2 linked regions of the Xenopus tropicalis genome follow. Each later gene encodes a partner of the first gene's protein in a complex. Links are inferred from orthologs where the notes say so. Each region holds a gene or a part of one and is shown on either strand. Other genes may lie near its edges.

Region 1 (4,578 bases):
GGCGAACATGTAAGTCGCCGGCAGGATGGCAGACGCGGCGGGGCGATTTTGGGAAATCGCCGAAAATCGCGCCGCCGCGTCTGCCATCCTGCCGGCGACTTACATGTTCGCCGGTGGGAAGGCAACTCGGGGAGATTAGTCGCCCGCGAGCAGGGAGTTTTGCCGCGGGCGACTAATCTCCCCGTGTACCAGAGCCCTAAAGGAAAATAATTACTTGTAGGGGGTGCCATTATGAAATACTAATCTAAAAAGCCCAAGGCTAGCACGTCTTTGTTAAAACTTGCACTGACCCAGAGTACTTTCTCCACAGTGCTCAACTGCCATCTTCTTGCTTGTTTCCAGGCTTTCACTGTGTTGACCAAAGCTAGCCACATGCATCACATGTTTTATAAAAAGGGTCCATTCAGAGTGGAGCAGGCTACAGATGGTGCATAATGTACCTCCCAGTGATTCTTATTCTAATGTCAGACGAGGAGTCTGGCATATATTTACGGCAAGCTTAAAATCCCTTTCCGAAAATAGCGCCATCCGCCTCCTACCTGTGCCTGCATCTGAATGAATGGAATACGCTCAGGAGCAGGCACATGAAGCCGATATCTGCCAAAAAAACGCGAGACTTCGTATCTTCGGCGGATATAGGCTACACGTGCCTGAACCCGAGCGTATTCCATTCATTCGGGTGCAGGCACAGGTAGAAGCGTATGGCGCTATTTTCAGCAAGCATCTGGGCATTTGCCTTAAGTCTTTCCAGCAATTACTTGAAAGTGGTGGTATGTTGTGATAGGCTAAGTGGTACACGAAAATCATAATATATTGATATAAAAGCCTACAACATTAAATAGACTAACAATGAGCAATTTATTAAAAAAAAAAAATAAAAGCAATCAAAAGACCAATCATTTAATAGCATTCCAGAATTGTTCATGGTTCCAAAAGCTACAAATCCTTGAATTATATACAAAAAAGTTCTTGACTGTAAGAAGTACATGATTTTTTTGTTACTCATTCCCTCTTCTGCTCTTCTTATGACTTTTCTTTGACCTAAAAAGAAAAATAACTTTATGCATTACATTTGTACTTCAAAAAATATTTATACAGGTATAAGACCAGTTATCCAGAATGCTCGGGACCAAGGGTATTCCGGATAAGAGGTCTTTCCGGAATTTGGATCTCCATACCTTAAGTCTACTTAAAAATCACAAAAAAATTAATTAAGCCCAATAGGGTTGTTTTGCATCAACAACAACAACAAACATTTGTAAATAATAAGGATTATTTATATCTTAGATTGGATTAATTACAAGGTACTGTTTTGTTACTACAGAGAAAAATTCTGAATTATTTGATTAAAATGGAGTCTATGGGAGATAGGGCTTTCCGTAATTCAGAGCTTTCTGGATAAAGGGTTTCAGGATAAGGGATCCCATACCTGTACAGACATTCTTCTGGTATTCTGTATATCACAATCACTTGAAAATAACCTGATTATTTTACCAGATCCCTTTAAAAACATATTTTATTTGGAATGTAATAGTTTAAAGCCCACAAGACCAGTGTCTGACTAATAGCAGCCCAGCTTAAAACAAAGATATCAAACTTAATCTATGTGAATGTTTGTTATATTTAGGATTTAACCTGGATGGCTTATAGTTGCTCAAGGAAGATATTCGTCTTATGGGTTTTCTCAGAAGACATCAGTTATTTTAGAATGTTTATATACATTGTGACATGCTATCTGCCTGTACACGTAATTTTTTGGGGGGAATTAGCAATGGTAAGCAGGGTAGCAGAGGATCAGAAGCATAGAGACAGGGACTCCATTTCATGAGGCAAAAAAAAAAAAATACAGGTCAAAGTTCATCAGCACCTTCCAGGGTAACTCTCAGACTCTGGAACCTTGTCCCGGGCTTCTCACAATCCACAGTGACTCTAATACACAAGAACACTCAGGCTACTCACCCAGCCCTGCTGTCTCTCCCCTCCTGGGATACCAGCTCGCCAGCCTCTGACACATTTTGGCTTCTCATTAGGCCTTGTTGTTTTGTCACGCATACACATGGTCACGGCTCTCTCTACTCCTTGCAGTGGTAGGCAGCACCCCCAGCCCCTCTGGGAGTTCCTTGCACAGACAAGCAACCTTTGTGCCATGTGCCCTGCTCTGAGAGACCTTTTCTCTGAGTGACCCTTCCCTTGGTCACAAATGCCCTCTCTGCTCCTTGCAGTGGCAGGAATCACCCCCAGCCCCTCTGGGAGTTTCTCACAGGCAGGCAAGCCTTGCTGCCCTGTGCCCTGCTCTGAGAGACCTTTCACAGGCAACCAACGCCAACACAGACAGGAAACCTTCCTGCTCTCAGAGTGAAGCCCTTTCTGTGAGTCAACCTTTCAACCTATGCTGTGTAATCCCAATGTTCTTTTATTTGCTGCTCCCCTGCAGCCTAATGAGGCAGCTCCCAACTGAAAAGACTTGAGTACAGAATGGAGGACCTATCCTACTCACCCTCCCCATTTACATCTCATTTATCCAGCTTTTCCTAACCCACTAACAAGAACACAGCACTACTTGGCTGCAAAACCAGGCATTTTTCCTGGTACTAACTATCTTAAATTTTACACCAAAATAGACCAAACAGTGTTCTTGTTCCTTGCATCTCTCACAGCATGTATGGAGCTTACCTCTCAGGTGACTTGGAGTGACTTCTGTGCCTGTGACTTCGATGATGTCCTATTTGGAGAAAAAAAAAAATTGGAAAATAAGCGTATTTTTTCCATCATATTCCTTAAACATTCAGTTTCTGAGGAATCATACCTGGAGATTTGGATTTGGATCGGTGTCGTCTCTCTCTAGACCTACTCCGATGACGCCTTGGGCTTTTGCTCCTATGTCTTTCCCGACGAGGTGGAGAAGGACTATGAAAGCAAACAAAAAGGTGGTGAACTAACAAACACAAAAAAAAAAAAACCCTGCACTTCTTACCCAAAATGGATACTATGTGGCACCACCTAGTACTTGAGAAGAGACTGAGACCAAGTAGTACTATGTAGAGACTCATGAAAGTAGTTACATCTCACAATGATTCTATTTTAATCAGCAACTTGTTTACCAATAGCTGTTTAGTAATCTAGCAATCCAGAGATCAGAACTCTCTGCTGCCACCAGTTAAGTAAATATTTAGGGGCATATTTATGAAAACTGAATCCCGAATGGGAAAAATTCGGATTGGAAACAAAAATTTCTGAAGATCGCAAATATCACAAAAATGCTTACGAAAAAAATCTTATTAGTCACGATAATATCATATTGGCGATCCGAAAGTCACGAAATTTTCGGACCGAACGATTGGACCGCTCCCGGCAGCTAATCTGCCCGTGCATGGTCACTACCAACGGGCCTGCCTGACCGATATCTGGCCTGAAACCGGGCAGATCTCGATCGTGCAGGTTAGAAAACCAAGTTGGATCGGGGACCACATCGGTTTGTTGATGCGGTCCCCAGACCGACTTTTCCTATGCCCATCCTGGATTCTCCCCATGTTGCCCAACCATATGTGGCGATATCAGGAGAAGATCCACCAAGACATCGCCAAGCGAGCGGATCTGCCCGTGTATTGGGACCTTAAGCCACCTTCCAGTGGATTAAACACCCCCTGAAATGCTGAATTCATTACACAAGCCAGTCTATTTTTCTATTAAAAAATCTAAAACAGGGTAAATAAAGAGACTATTAAATGTGTCACAAACTTACCTTCTCCTTTTAGGAGAGCGACTGCGTCTGAAATAAGAAAAAACAAAAATATAGGCTCAGGTCAGTTCAAGTCTAAAACTTATAAACACCTGAAACAGTTTTCTATACATTATTTGGATAACCATTCCCAGAACTAAATAACATTATGAGGTAGATGCTTCAATATTACAAATTATATTTAGCCAGGGATCAATAACCAGCAATATTACACTCAACATGGAAGCAGATAAGAAGCCAGAAATATGGGGGGCGCTAGTGAGCCGCGATCTAAGATGGCCGCATCTTGATTGCGCTCTTACCGTGGAGGAGATTAATCCCCAAGCAATCACCGCGCAGATGACTTTTCGGGTATAATAACGGCACACATAAGAACCAGATACCTTAGACGACCTCTGGATGGCACATAAAAGACGGAAAAGGGAGAAAAAAGGGTCTAACGCCTCCCCGCTCCGAACTACACGGAGCGTTGCGTCATACCTGGCTAGGCCACAAGTGGTAGAACCCTCACCAATGGCCTCCCAAGCAGACTCATGGCTAGAAGCGGACTCGCAGCCACTTCTTTCCACCTCAGAGTCACAAGCTCCCGTAGAGGAGTCTGTGTTACTGGACAAATTTAAAACAATGTTGCAGCAAGAGTTAGCCTCAACCGCTGCGACTATTACTGCAGACATCACGAAACAACTCCATGAGCTGGGGCAAAGAACAGACGCGATAGAACATAAAGTAGATGACATTACCACAGTCCTCGATGCTCACGAGAATGATATACTGGACCTGCAGATGCAACTACGCGAGGTATGGGACAAGATTGAGGATGCAGATAATAGATCCCGACG
Region 2 (4,947 bases), on another chromosome or scaffold:
GTACCTGCATCTTTTTTCCCAACACAGCCTGGGGTTGGATAGGTTGGAGGGTAAGTTCAAACTCTACCCTCTAGCTTATCCAGTCCCCATGCAACTTAACTTTGTGACAAACAAAGCTGTGTAGGGGAAAAAAGATGCAGAAGTCAAGCAAGTATCAGAGCAGGCAGCAGAAGATAAAATACATACTAAGGCCAAGGAGTTTAGGGCAGGTGGCAAATATTATAATCAGTGTACAGGCAAAGGTTAATACCAGGCAAACAAGTATAGGCAGTGGCAATATTAGGGCCAGAATTAGGGGTAGGCAGAAGATGCACGTGCCTAGGGTAGGGCGACCAGATCAGTTGAAAATTCAGGGACATGTCTAATAAATACATGTTGCAGGGCAGTACTGATTGCATTTAAAATAAACTGCTCAGTTCAGCCCTCACTGGTTTTTTTTTTAGATGTGTCCCACAATTTTCAAGTGATCTGGTCACCCTACCCTAGGGTGCAACAGGGGGGGGGCGCTAGGATAGGGTTATCAGATCACTTGAATATTCAGGCACATCTCTAATAAATACATGTTGCAGGGCAGCATTGATTGTATTTAAAATAAACTGCTTTCAGTTCAGCCCTGTTCACTGGATATTTTTTTTTAGATGTGTCCCTAAATTTTCAAATGATCTGGTCACCCTACCCTAACCTAGGGTGCAACAGTGGGGGTGCTAAGCTAGGGTTATCAGATCACTTTAAAATTCAGGCACGCATCTTATAAATACATGTTGCAGGGCTGTACTGATTGTGTTTACATTAAATTGCAATCACTACAGCCCTTGTAGCAGTTGGATTTTGTAAACTCGTCCCTAAATGTTTTAAGTGATCTGGTCACCGTACACTAGGCACAAACCTATTTTAACGCTTACCCCTAGTCCAGGCCCTTCTCCCCCCCACCATCTGCTCATTTCTAAAAATCCCAGCAAGCAGGGCTGAACTGATAGCAGTTTATTTTCAATCAGTACTGCCCTGAATATTCAGGTGATCTGGTCCCCCTAGCCGGCTTGGCCACTGGCAATAACCAAGGCTTTCAGCTATAAATATATAACATAAATGTCCCAATTCTGCGGCTCGGTGACAGCAGGAGAACCAGGCAAATCTATGTTCCTAGGGGAAAAACCTAGGTATTTGGTTATTAAGGAGAGCACCTTATATGTTAAACAGACTTAGCAACACTTAAAAAGTAACAAAACATATCTACTTAGGGCACTTCCTATTAAGATCAGAATTTACCAATAAGTTGCTCAGTTTTATGTCCATTTTAGCGCTTTGCACTTCCCTCGTAAATGAGCCCTAATAAGTTTCACCTTTGGAATGTAAAAACTCCTATAGAAAAGCCTGTTCTCTCTGGCTCTACAGAGATCACGCCCTATTGCTAGATGCCCACTGTACATACTAATTTACAGGTACCTGACAGTACATACAACATGATCCCTACATGTTTAAATGCACATGTCACCTTCACCATCCATTCAATGGTGTCTGCTCTCCTTTTCAACTCTATGATTCTAAAGGAGGGCTGTCTGTTACCACTCTATCTACTCAATGGTCACTCTGTCTTAATTGCCATTACATACAAAAATAACAATTTACCACTAGCGTGAAGAACCGGCAATGATCTGTAGTTTCACGTTCTCTAGTGTATTTCAGGGAATGTGCCCAAAATAAAGATGGCGCAAGAAGCCGATGACAGAAGGATGGCTCTATCATCTGATTGGTAGAAGGTGTAACTAAGGCGGCTAGTTACAAGGTTCTTCCGCTTGACGTCATTTAGCGCGACAAGAGGTCTAGGCCGGGCAAGATGGCGTCGGGAAGTGGGGTGAGTATGAGGGCTTGGTAAAGAGCCGCTGTTTGTTCTCTGTGGGGTTGAATTCAGACGGATAGTGGAGGCTGGTAGTGCCTCTTTAGTTTAGAATTTTCTAGCTTTTCCCAAAAAAACAGCTTCCAACATCCTTAGGGCGGAAGAGAGCATGTTGTGTCTATAGAGCAACACGAACAATAACAAGAGAGCCGTAGGAAGATGAAGGCTGGGCTATCATTAATTACCACCCGGGCATTAAAGCACTCCCAGTTGGTTCCCTTGTGTAATAAGGAACTTAGGCTGAACTACACCTCGCAGCACCAAATCCAGGGATTTCTAGGCTGCCTGTTGGGTGGGGTACGTTTTGGGTCTGGTGTGTGTAAATGTAAGTGTGGGTGAGTCTCAGGGGAGATCCCTCCATGGCTATTTGATTTCTGAGGGAATTCACATTTTTGATTTTGGATGAATACTGAAAACTCCACAAAAGGACTCCTCTGAATCACACACTGAATCCAGACCCTAATTTTCATGTGCAAATTAGGGAAAAACTATAAACTAAAAAACGAAAAATAAAAACTAAAAATGAAGTATGAAAAAATAAAACCACCTGCCTTTCATTGTCATGTGGTCTAAAATCACAGGATTCTTAAGGGCTTGGGTTTGGCTGAATACAATTCCTGGCAAAAAAGACTGATTTGGTTCATCTTTTTTTCTCGTATAATCTGGTTTTAAGAGGAAAATGCTTTGTCTTCGACTATGCTTCTGTTATAACCCCTACTAGCAGTGAAGACTGTTTTACCTTCCCTTTAAGGGCTCTGGCACACGGGGAGATTAGTCGCCCGCGACAAAACTCCCTGTTCGCGGGCGAATAATCTCCCCGAGTTACCGCCAGTTGCCATCCCACTGGCGACGATGTAAGTCGCCGGTGGGATGGCAAACGCGGTGACGCGATTTCGGGAAATCGCCGAAGTTGCCTCGCGAGGCTTTTTCGGCGATTTCCTGAAATCGCGCCGCTGCGTGTGCCATCCCACCGGCGACTTACATCGTCGCCGGTGGGATGGCAAATGGCGGCAACTTGGGGAGATTAGTCACCCGCGAACAGGGAGTTTTGTCACGGGCGACTAATCTCCCCATGTGCCAGAGCCCTAAAGGAGAAGAAAAGGTATGATCACTTTGGGGGTGCCAAATGATACCCCCAGTGTTTATAATTTCTTACTTTAGACCCTGGCCAGTGCTCCTGTTTGCTGAAAATGGCATAAGGGATGCTAGTCCAAATTGCTTTCCATTTCTTGGGTCTTTGATTCAGCCCTGGGCTTGTGCGCACATGTGTAGTAGAGTGAAAAGCTGTTGCACGGCTGTAAAGAGGGTGTAAAAGAAAGACGGCTGATTTTTTAGAGAGTAGTACTGGGTCAGGGTCTCAGGTAAGCTATTTTAATCTCTGGAAGGGGGCGCCCACCCAGTGATGTGATTTACCATCACATATTGTTTTCTTCTCTATTGATATAGTGCCAACATATTCAAAAGAGCTTTACAGACATTATACATTATTCTCATCAGTGCCTGGACTTAAGTTCCTTATCACATTCGCACAGCATACTAGGGTCCTTTTTTATCAGGAGCCGGTTAACATGCCTGGTTGTTTTCGATGTGTCTAAAGAAACACACTCAGGCATGGTGTGATCATACAGAATTCTTGCAAGTAGTGTCCAGACAGAGATTCTAACTTAGTGGACTTAGATTGTGCTCAGGCCCGGATTTGTGGCGAGGCCACAAAGGGCCGGGCCTAGGGCGGCACAAATTTAGGGGCTGCATGCCGCCCTGCTGCAACGAAAATGTAACATTTTGCTCCCATACGGAGTAATGGGGACTTCTCCCCACTGCTCCGTATGGGAGTTGAAAAGTCCGCACATGCGTGCTTCCGGCTGCACCAAGGGGGAGAGGTTCGTAGGGACGGCCTCGGGGCGCCAGGATTTGGAATCCGGCGCTGATTGTGCTTCTACAGCAGTGATCCCTAACCACTGGCTTGTAAGCAGCCCCTTGGTTGGTGCCCCCAGTGGCTTTAAAGTGGGAATTCCCAAATTGGAGGCAAGTTTTGGTTGCATACAAACCTGGTGTAGTGCCAAACAGAACCTCTTGTAGGCTGCTAGTCCACATAGGGGTTACCAGATATCCAATCATAGCCCTTACTTGGCACCCCAAGTACATTTTTCATGCTTGTGTTCCCTCTTCTGTAGTATTGTTGACTGAGCTGTTTGCAAAAGGGTGCAGAAGTTTTACATTAATACCCAAGCATGGAAGACCATGAATGATTTAATATGGGATTCTAATTTATATAGCGTTATGTTTAGTGGAAAGTAGGAGTGACTTGGCAGATAAAGCCTATCTGCAATAATTAGTTAAAGTCAGTATAATATTCCCTTAAAACCCAGTCTTTTGTTGTTTGTGTTAGGAATCTGATTTCCATTGTCATCTTCATCTTCTGCAGAGCAATGAAAGGGGATATCCTCAATTTTCTTTTTTTTTCACAGTTTCGCACTTTAGGCTGTCATAGAAATGAATTATTGCCCATTCCCAATAGGCTTTATTTTCATATCTATACATCTGATTCCATTACACAATTGGTTATTTCTGCCATGATAACTAAAACATGTGGTCTGTGTAATCACTGGACGTTTTGTCTAGGCAGTCAGATTGAAATCTTTTGGTTCCTTACTAGTTACTTTGAAATGTAAAAAGCTATGCCTCATCTGTGTAAAGGTGGCCATACACGCACCGATATTATCGTACGAAACCTCGTTTCGTACGATAATCGGTGCGTGTATGGCATGTCAGCGAGCCGACCGATATCGCAGGAAGCTGCTGAAATCGGTCGGCTCGCCGATCGGCCAAGTTAGAAAATTTTGATCGGGCGCCATAGAAGGCGCCTGACCAAAATTCTCCCTTCAGAGCTGAATCGGCAGAAGGAGGTAGAAATCCTATTGTTTCTACCTCCTTACCTGCCGATTCAGCCCTGAATGGTGTGTGGCGGATCTGACGATGTTTCGTGCGACCGACGGTCGTACGAAACATCGTGAGATCGCCACGTGTATGGCCAGCTTAATGCACATGTATTT

The links.
Region 2: prpf38a (region 1) and zmat2 share a complex: the UniProt entries of both Homo sapiens proteins name them as parts of the spliceosome B complex. The link is inferred for Xenopus tropicalis from reciprocal best matches to the Homo sapiens genes PRPF38A and ZMAT2.

Annotation. Positions count from the first base shown.
Region 1 is NC_030680.2:96,683,995-96,688,572, reverse strand, and holds the end of prpf38a (pre-mRNA-splicing factor 38A), read right to left. Parts: intron 3,770-4,578; coding exon 3,743-3,769; intron 2,908-3,742; coding exon 2,807-2,907; intron 2,723-2,806; coding exon 2,674-2,722; intron 1,042-2,673; coding exon 999-1,041; 3' UTR 840-998; downstream 1-839. UniProt on the Homo sapiens protein: Involved in pre-mRNA splicing as a component of the spliceosome.
Region 2 is NC_030679.2:26,864,844-26,869,790, forward strand, and holds the start of zmat2 (zinc finger matrin-type protein 2), read left to right. Parts: upstream 1-1,821; 5' UTR 1,822-1,834; coding exon 1,835-1,852; intron 1,853-4,947. UniProt on the Homo sapiens protein: Involved in pre-mRNA splicing as a component of the spliceosome.